Elephas maximus indicus: one gene and its partner. The protein of the gene in region 2 interacts with the protein of the main gene of each other region in a biochemical or structural test. Links are inferred from orthologs where the notes say so. Each region holds a gene or a part of one and is shown on either strand. Other genes may lie near its edges. The genes, in order: SELE and GLG1.

The links.
Region 1: the proteins of GLG1 (region 2) and SELE form a complex in vitro, tested with the Homo sapiens proteins (2 studies listed by BioGRID and IntAct). The link is inferred for Elephas maximus indicus from reciprocal best matches to the Homo sapiens genes GLG1 and SELE.

The regions. Positions count from the first base shown.
Region 1 is NC_064821.1:214,286,649-214,290,563, reverse strand, and holds the start of SELE (E-selectin), read right to left. Parts: upstream 2,754-3,915; 5' UTR 2,652-2,753; intron 2,313-2,651; 5' UTR 2,266-2,312; coding exon 2,229-2,265; intron 1,453-2,228; coding exon 1,069-1,452; intron 341-1,068; coding exon 233-340; intron 1-232. UniProt on the Homo sapiens protein: Cell-surface glycoprotein having a role in immunoadhesion. Mediates in the adhesion of blood neutrophils in cytokine-activated endothelium through interaction with SELPLG/PSGL1. May have a role in capillary morphogenesis.
Region 2 is NC_064839.1:40,477,540-40,481,454, forward strand, and holds the start of GLG1 (Golgi apparatus protein 1), read right to left. Parts: upstream 2,364-3,915; 5' UTR 2,334-2,363; coding exon 1,917-2,333; intron 1-1,916. UniProt on the Homo sapiens protein: Binds fibroblast growth factor and E-selectin (cell-adhesion lectin on endothelial cells mediating the binding of neutrophils).

The DNA of each region.
Region 1 (3,915 bases), on a different chromosome or scaffold from region 2:
GTCTGATCATCATCTTTATTTTAAAACCGAGAAAGCGGGGGCCCAGGGACTTTTAGGGCCTTGTCAAGGTACTAAGTGGTGAACCTGGGATTTGAACCCAGGAATTGCGACTCCATAGCCTCTGCTTTTCACCACCATTTTACACTGCCCCAGGGAAGGGAAGACATGTCGATCTGACTCCAAAGCCAGCTGAGACGTGAAGGGAGAGGTGAGAGGTGAGACCATGATTTACCTTGCTCACAGTTGAGTCCACTGAAGCCGGGGTCACACTCGCAAGTGTAGTTATTGATGGTCTCCACACATTCTCCGTGACCACTGCAGGACATGTTGGAGCAGGCAGCTGCGGGAAACAGTTCTGATGAGGGCCAGGCTTATGCCGACAGGAGGTGCATGTGAGCTTAGCATCAACAATGTGCAGTACAGATGAACTCGATGAGACAGTGCCAACGATTTTCATTTAAAGTGCTTAACAAAACGCCACATCTGAGTCTTAGGTTCATCTGTTTTAAACCCGAATGTTAACATGTGGCACTCCAGAGTTAGCTGCAGCTAACACCTAGCATACGAAATTCACATTCTGACAGATATTGGGTACAGTTCCACTCCGGCAGGTGAAGAAGTTACTAAGATATGTATCATGTGTGTACACACTCTCTGCGTATGTAAAAGCCACTTGATGGGTGGATTCCGGCTCATGGGATCCCCATGTGCGTCAGAGTAGAACTGTGCTCCATAGGGTTTTCAATGGTTGATTTTGGGAAGTCACTCACCAAGCCTTTCTTTGGAGAGTCTCTGGGAGGACTGAACATTTGGCTTAGCAGAGTGAGTTAACCATGCGCACTGCCCAAGTACACACACACACACACACACACACACACACACACAGTCTTGGCTAAATTTATACAAAGGAGCAAAAAGAGATACTTTACTCATTAAACAGAACTTTTTAAAGCTGTATATTTTAGAACATAAAGTAGCCACAATAGAGATTGGTTTTTGCCTGTTGTAAAGGATTTGTCAAGACATTCACCCTGGAAACTAGTCTCTCTGCAGCCCCAAACTCCCTACCTGTGTAGCACAGGGCCAGCTTCTTTTTGTTACAGCTCTCATCGTTCCACATGCCCTCATCCTTCCCTCTTTTGATGTAGATCTCCACGCAGTCCTCGTCGTTTTGCTTATTGTTCGGTTCTCCGGGAGCCCAGTTCTCAGCTTCTGGGGTCAGAGGCTTCTGGGTCCCTACCCAAGTCCACACACCATTGACCTTTCTGATTCCAATCCAGTAGTAACTTGGTGAGTGGCTTAATATGGAGTTCAAGTACTTGATCTCTTCTTTGTTTTGAATCGCCACTAGATCTGTGTATTGCTGACAGTACTCCCTTGCCTCATCGTACGTCATGGTTTGCACGGAGGTATGGTAGGTCCAGGCCCCGCTGTCTCGAACCAGGAGGAACGCTAGGGGGAGACACAAAAGAAATGCTAGAGGTTAGTCTTGCTGCGATTCGACTCCATCAACTGAGCTCTTTGTTTTCTTAATTGTGGTGCGTTTTTCTCCCCAGGAACCAATGGCATATATGCTTGAGCACAGTGGCCTTCGTTCGCTTTTCAGAATTAAGAAAGTGTGTGTGGAAAAACGGCATTTATTGTGAGCCCCCTCTGTGATAGTCCCTCCTGAACTCCTCCGCCATAACCTACTAGCCTACCCACTTTACAGTAGACTAATAGAATAACGAGGCTTGGCTGAGTGTGTAATATGTACCGCCGAACACTGCCTGAAGCACTGTACTCGGCCACCTACTGAATCCTCACGGTGCCTCAGGAAAATGGGCAATTTATGATCAACACTTTGCACCTGGGGAAGGTAAGACAATGAGAGGTAAATTGCCCCTGTTAGTTGCCATAGAGGTGATTCAGAATCATGGCGACCCCATGTGTGCAGAGCTGAGCTGCTCCGTAGGGTTTTCAAGGCTGTGACCTTTCAGAAACAGATCACCAGTCCTGTCTTCCGAGGCACTTTTGGATGGCTTGGAGCCACCAACGTTTCAGCTAGTAGTCTAGCGCTTAAGTGTTTCCACCACACAGGGACTCCAATTGCTCCTAGCCTAGGGCATAATACATTGGACCTAAAGGTCAGGGATGGTGCCAAACATCCCACAACTCACAAGATAGCATTCCATAACAAAGTACGTCAAGGTTGAGAAACTCTAGCCTAACTGACAACACTGACTTACCAAAAGAGAGAGCAGATAGGAAGTGTCCAGCAATCATGACCTCCAGAGTTGTTTTTCTCAAGGGGTTAGACGAAAAATACTTCTCTGGAGAGGAAAAAGTACAGAATTAATTATGGAATGAAACTCTGGGTAGCCAGTTACTCATGTCATTTTACAATTATGGCTTTATGGCAGCATTATCAGATTTTAAGTCAAGAATTCCAGTGCCACAATCTTTGTGCACATCAAAGACGTTTACTCAAATGAACAAATAACATTTCTGATTTTTCGTCATTTAGGTGAAAGAGAAAGGCCAGGTTTGTAACTAGTCAGTAGAATAAGAGCTTGCAGAAGACCTTTTATTGGAATGCCTTTACATGCCTGATCACATTGCTAACCTGTTTCACGGCCCAAGTCTGCCCCTGTGAAGACTTCTGCACTTACGCTTTCCGAAGCAGTTGGACAGGTGTCGAATCCTCTGTGCTGTGTCACACCGGCACTCCTGACGTGAAGGCAGCCAAGAACAGCTGAGCCCTGCCCCTGCTGGCGTTGCTTTATACGAGTGCTGGCTTCCTGTGCATAATAGGAGGATATGTCCAAATTGAGCAAGGAGGAATTCCCCAACAGCATCCAAAAAGTTTCCCGGGAATATCCATAAGGCTAAAAATTACAATGATGTCAGAAACTGTGCCGCTCAAACTAATTCTCCTTTGTCCGTTCCTTTATACTTTACATGCAATTCTGTTACTATGACATGAATTACGATTTTTCATTCTGATAACATAAAATGTGGGTTTTTTAAAAGTTTAAACCATTGATTATTGGCAGTATCTCTCATGTTATCATGGTAGTAATAAGAATTTTGAAACGTAAGCAAACTAAGAATAGTTTTGTTGTCCGTGGAATGCTACCCTCAATTTTTTTATCAGTAGCTGTCAATAACACATCTCCACTCACTTTTTCATTCTCACATGCCAACTCAACTCATTTTACCGTGCGGTGCCCCAGAGATACGCATCACCAGCTGTGCACTGGTCCTCAGGTTCTGTGCACCTGCTGTGGCTAAATTACTAAAAATTGTATCTTCCACTTCAACGCTTGACATAATGCTGCCTTAAAATTTTTTTTTAATGGGAAAGAGTCTTAGATGTTCTTGTCTGGAAAATGGCCCTGATTTGTTCAGTGAAGAAAGAAATAAGAAAAACTGTATATACTCATATTTAATTGACACAAACTTTTTTTATTGTACTTTAGATAAAGGTTTTCAGAGCAAACTATCTTCTCGTTAAACAAATAATGCACATATTGTTTTGCGACATCGGTTGCCAACCCCACAACATGTTAACACTCTCCCCTTCTTGATCTTGAGTTCCGCATTACCAGCTTTCCTGTCCCCTCCTGCCCTCTCATCCTTGCCCCTGGGCTGGTGTGCCCATTTTGTCTCATTTTGTTTTATGAGCCTGTCTAATCTTTGACTGAAGGGTAAACCTCGAGAATGACTTCTTTACTGAGCTAAAAGGGTGTCTGGGGGCCATATGCTCAGGGTTTCTCCAGTCTCTGTCAGACCAGTAAATCTGGTCTTTTTTTGTGAGTTAGAATTTTGTTCTACGTCTTTCTCCAGCTCTGTCCCAGGACCCTCTGTTATGATCCTTGTCAGAGCAGTTGGTGGTGGTAGCCAGGCACCACGTAGTTGTGCTGGACTCAGTCT
Region 2 (3,915 bases):
TTGCTATATCATCCCCATAAAGGAAGAAAAATGCTGTTACTGAAATGATGTCCTTGCTGGGAATTTTACAATCAATGGCAGAGCTAGGACTAAATTTCCAGACCAGGTTCTTTAAAAAAAAAAAAAAAAGAACACTAAAGTACCCAATAAATTAAACAGGCTCCAAAATTAGTCAAATCTAAGTTATTTACAGATAATGTATACGGCTACTCACTTCCACATGTAACACTGTGGAAGCCTGCTGGATGTTTCCAACGTCCCTAATGTGCTCAAAGGAAGGGACATGCATTCCTTGAATGGGCCACATTTTGGCACTTTCTCTAATAATGTCCTGTTTCTTCTAGAAGCCACTGAGGCCTTTGGTCACCAATATTATTACCCTACGTTAAGGAAGCAACTTCTGTATCCTCAAAGACCAAACAGAAAATTCCAAAAAGCCTGGTAGAGTTAAGAATCTTGTAGCTTCTAGAAGAGCAACTCAAGTATAAAGAATGGCAAGGGATTAGCCTTTTAGTCTTTGAGCTGTAGATGAGAAGTCATCTAAGGCCCCTATTTCTAGTGGTTCTGGAAACTTCCTCCCTCTCTGTCTCCTGATTATCTGTGTCTTTTCTGAATTATTTTTGAATTATTCTGCATACAGCAACTCTCACAATGGGATGAAGTGGACGAAACTGCCAAGAGTAGCAATTTTCTACAAACCTGTGGTCTTCCTGTGGCCTCGAATACCTTGGACAATTCTGGTGACACAATTTTCTAAATGAAACCGTACCAAGCAACAGCTTTATTCTATTTGTCAATCTCTGGGGCTAATAATGTATGTTTAAGCACCGGACTACTAGCAGAAAGGCTTGCGGTTCAAATTCCCCCAGAGATGCCTCAGAAGTAAGGCCTGGTAATCTGCTTCTCAAAATGTTACAGCCTTGAAAACCATATAGAGCAGTTCTACGCTGCACACGTGGGGTGGGTCACCACTAGTCTGAATCCACTCACAGGCAACTAGCAACATCATCTTTTGAAAAAGTATCCCTATCAGACCTGCTCCCCAGTTTTGAGAACTGTCAAACACATGCTTATGTCTGTAGCAATAAATCTAGAAAAATAATTTCAAATGTCACTAAGCCGAATCACATCAAACAATAGCAAATCTAGATCTCATTAAGAGTTACCGTTAAAATCATATTCAGACGTCAGAAAGGCAAGCCCCCAAGGCCCAATCACAAATACTGTGTAGTATTACAGCTTCAAATGCTGCCCCAACCTTTCACGCTTTAGGGTTCCAAGTCACTTGGCGTAATAGCTTAAACATAGATTCACTACAAGCTGACCAAAAGAAGTGAAGCACAAAAGGCATACATTAGTTTCAGCACCAGAGAAATAAACACGGGGTGAAGAATGGGGTAAAGACAGTAAATCCTCCTGCTGACTACAACACACATCAGAACAGAACCGAAGTTACCTAAAAAACCTTATCCACTGCCAACAAGCAGCCGATCATTCTTTAACAGTTTAAGTACGCCAACCATTTTTCAGGTATAAACGTATTGCTGCGAATTGCCCAAGTCTAAACGGAATGGCAAAATCCTAAGCCGGTCTTCGGCAAAGAGCCACTCTGCACTGAGCATCACACAAAAGACAGGAGCAAACAAACACGCTCTGGGCCTTCGCCGATCGAGGCGAGTTGGGATCTACGTTCCAGACCCCGGCACCAGGAAGGGAAAAAGGAGCCAAGGAACGGAGGGGTGGGGTGGGATCCTCTTGCCCAAATGCGCCAGGGAGTGAGAGGCAGGGAGGAAAGGATCGAGCGCGGCAAGGAGGAAGCGAAGCAGCAGCAGACCAGCGTCAGCGCCTTCCAAGGCCGGCGACACCCTCGGGCCTGCACCAGGCCAGGCCCTCCCGGTCCCGTCCCGCCTCCTCACCTCCCTCACATCCTGCAGGCACTCCAGCACCGCCAGGTTGTTGCTCCAGGTGTGCTTGGGGCACACACGGGTCACGTCCTCCCTGCAGGACTCTTCCTCTGCCAGCTTCCAGCCCCCGCCAGCCCCCGCTCCTCCGCGCCGGGCCGAAGGCCCACCCGCCGGGAACGCCGGCTGCGGCGGCTGAGGCGGTTGCTGCTGCTGAGGCTGCTGGAGCTGAGGTGACTGAGGCAGCTGCTGAACCGCCGACACGGCGCCTCCACCCTGCCCTACGAAGGACACAAAGTTGGCCCCCGGGCCCTGGCCCTGGCCGTGGCCGCCCTGGCCCTGGACTTTCTGGGCCCCGGCCGCGGCGATCAGCAGCAGCTGCAGCGCCGCCGACAAGCCGAACATCCTCCGTACACGTCCACACGCCGCCATCTTGGATCCGCGGCGATCTCGACGCACACGCCGGCGCCGCGTATTTAAATAGTGGGCGGGGCGTCGGGGCGTGGGCCGGCGTAGCCCACAAAGCCCCGCCCAGGCCGGCGCCGACCTGTGGGATGGGAGCACAGCGAGGGAGGTGGCTAGGCTCCAGAAGCCCACGCCCTGGACTTCCGCGGGCCTCCAAAGGCGCTCTTTACTCGGGGAGTTGCTGGCGCTCCGTAAAAAGCCTGGGTAGGGCAGCTTTGCCTAATTCCGTTGGTTGTCATCACAGAAAAATAAAAAGAAATTGGGGTTGCCACAACCAAGATGGCCGGTGAAATATGTAGCCGGTTCAATGATTTTTTGGGGGAAAAAAGGTAACTTTATGTATGTAGAGGTGAACTTTACACAACCAGTATTCTAGAAACGAAGAGCCTCTCTTGCATCTCTCCTTCCCTTCCATCTGCTTCAAAAGCCTTTCTTACCCAAAGAGCAAAACAGTACTGAATAAAAAAGCACAAATTCCGGAGCCACAAAAGACCTGGGTTATAATCCTTGAGTTTCGGCAGACCAGACAAGTCTTTTTAACTTCTCTGAACTTCATTTTCTTATCTGAAAAAAGACGAGGAGAAGCTCTATTTAACATGTAATTGCGAAGTATGGAAATAAGAAAAGTGGTGACCCAGAATGTTGTCTTCAAGTCAATTCCGACTCATGGCGACTGCCATGTGTTAAAGAGTAGAACTGTTCCACAGGGTTTTCTGGCTGTGATCTTAATGAAGCAGATCACCAGGCCTTTTCTTCTGCATAGCACTGCGTGGGTTAGAATCACCAACCTTTAGGTTAGCAATAGAGCACAAACCCTTTTGCACCACCTAGAGACCCTGGCCCACAATTTTAAAAAAAGCGCTGTAGGGTCAATTCCCACTCAGTGACCCAATAGGGCAGAGAACTGCACCATAGGGTTTCCCAGGCTATAATCTTTATGGAAGCAGACTGCCACATCCTTTTCCAACAAACAGCTGGTGGGTTTGAACTGCCAACTTTCTGCTTAGCAGCCCAGTCCTTTAACCACTGTGCCACCAGGGTTTACAATACCTGTTAACCCATTGCCATCTAGTGGATTCCAAATCCTAGCAACCCTTAGCTTACAATACCCACAGGGACCTAAAAAAGTTATAGCCAGTATTATTAATAAACTGTGAAACTGTGCATCAAAGTCCTGATTCTAAGCTAGAAGTTAAACTCATGTTTAAAAGACGAAAATAGCAAAATGCTTGTTTAGGGACTCTGGTTAAGTCTGCATGTCCCTAACTGTTCCTGCTGTTCTGCATGCAGCATCTTTTCAGCAGCACCTCCCGGCAAGTTTGGTTCTTTTCACCACACACTAGTGACTAGTCTTCCTAGGAGAGATGACATCTTCCCAGAGTGTCTTCATATCCATTGTCATTTCAGCCTTGGTTGGACTGGTTTCTAATTTAACAGGAAAGGGGCAGTGATGTTAACAGCTCTGCAGAGAGGTTAAATTTCTGCCAGCTAGTAGAGAGCCTGGGACCAGAATTACTGGGTCTTCCCATTGTCCTTTCTGGTACACTTT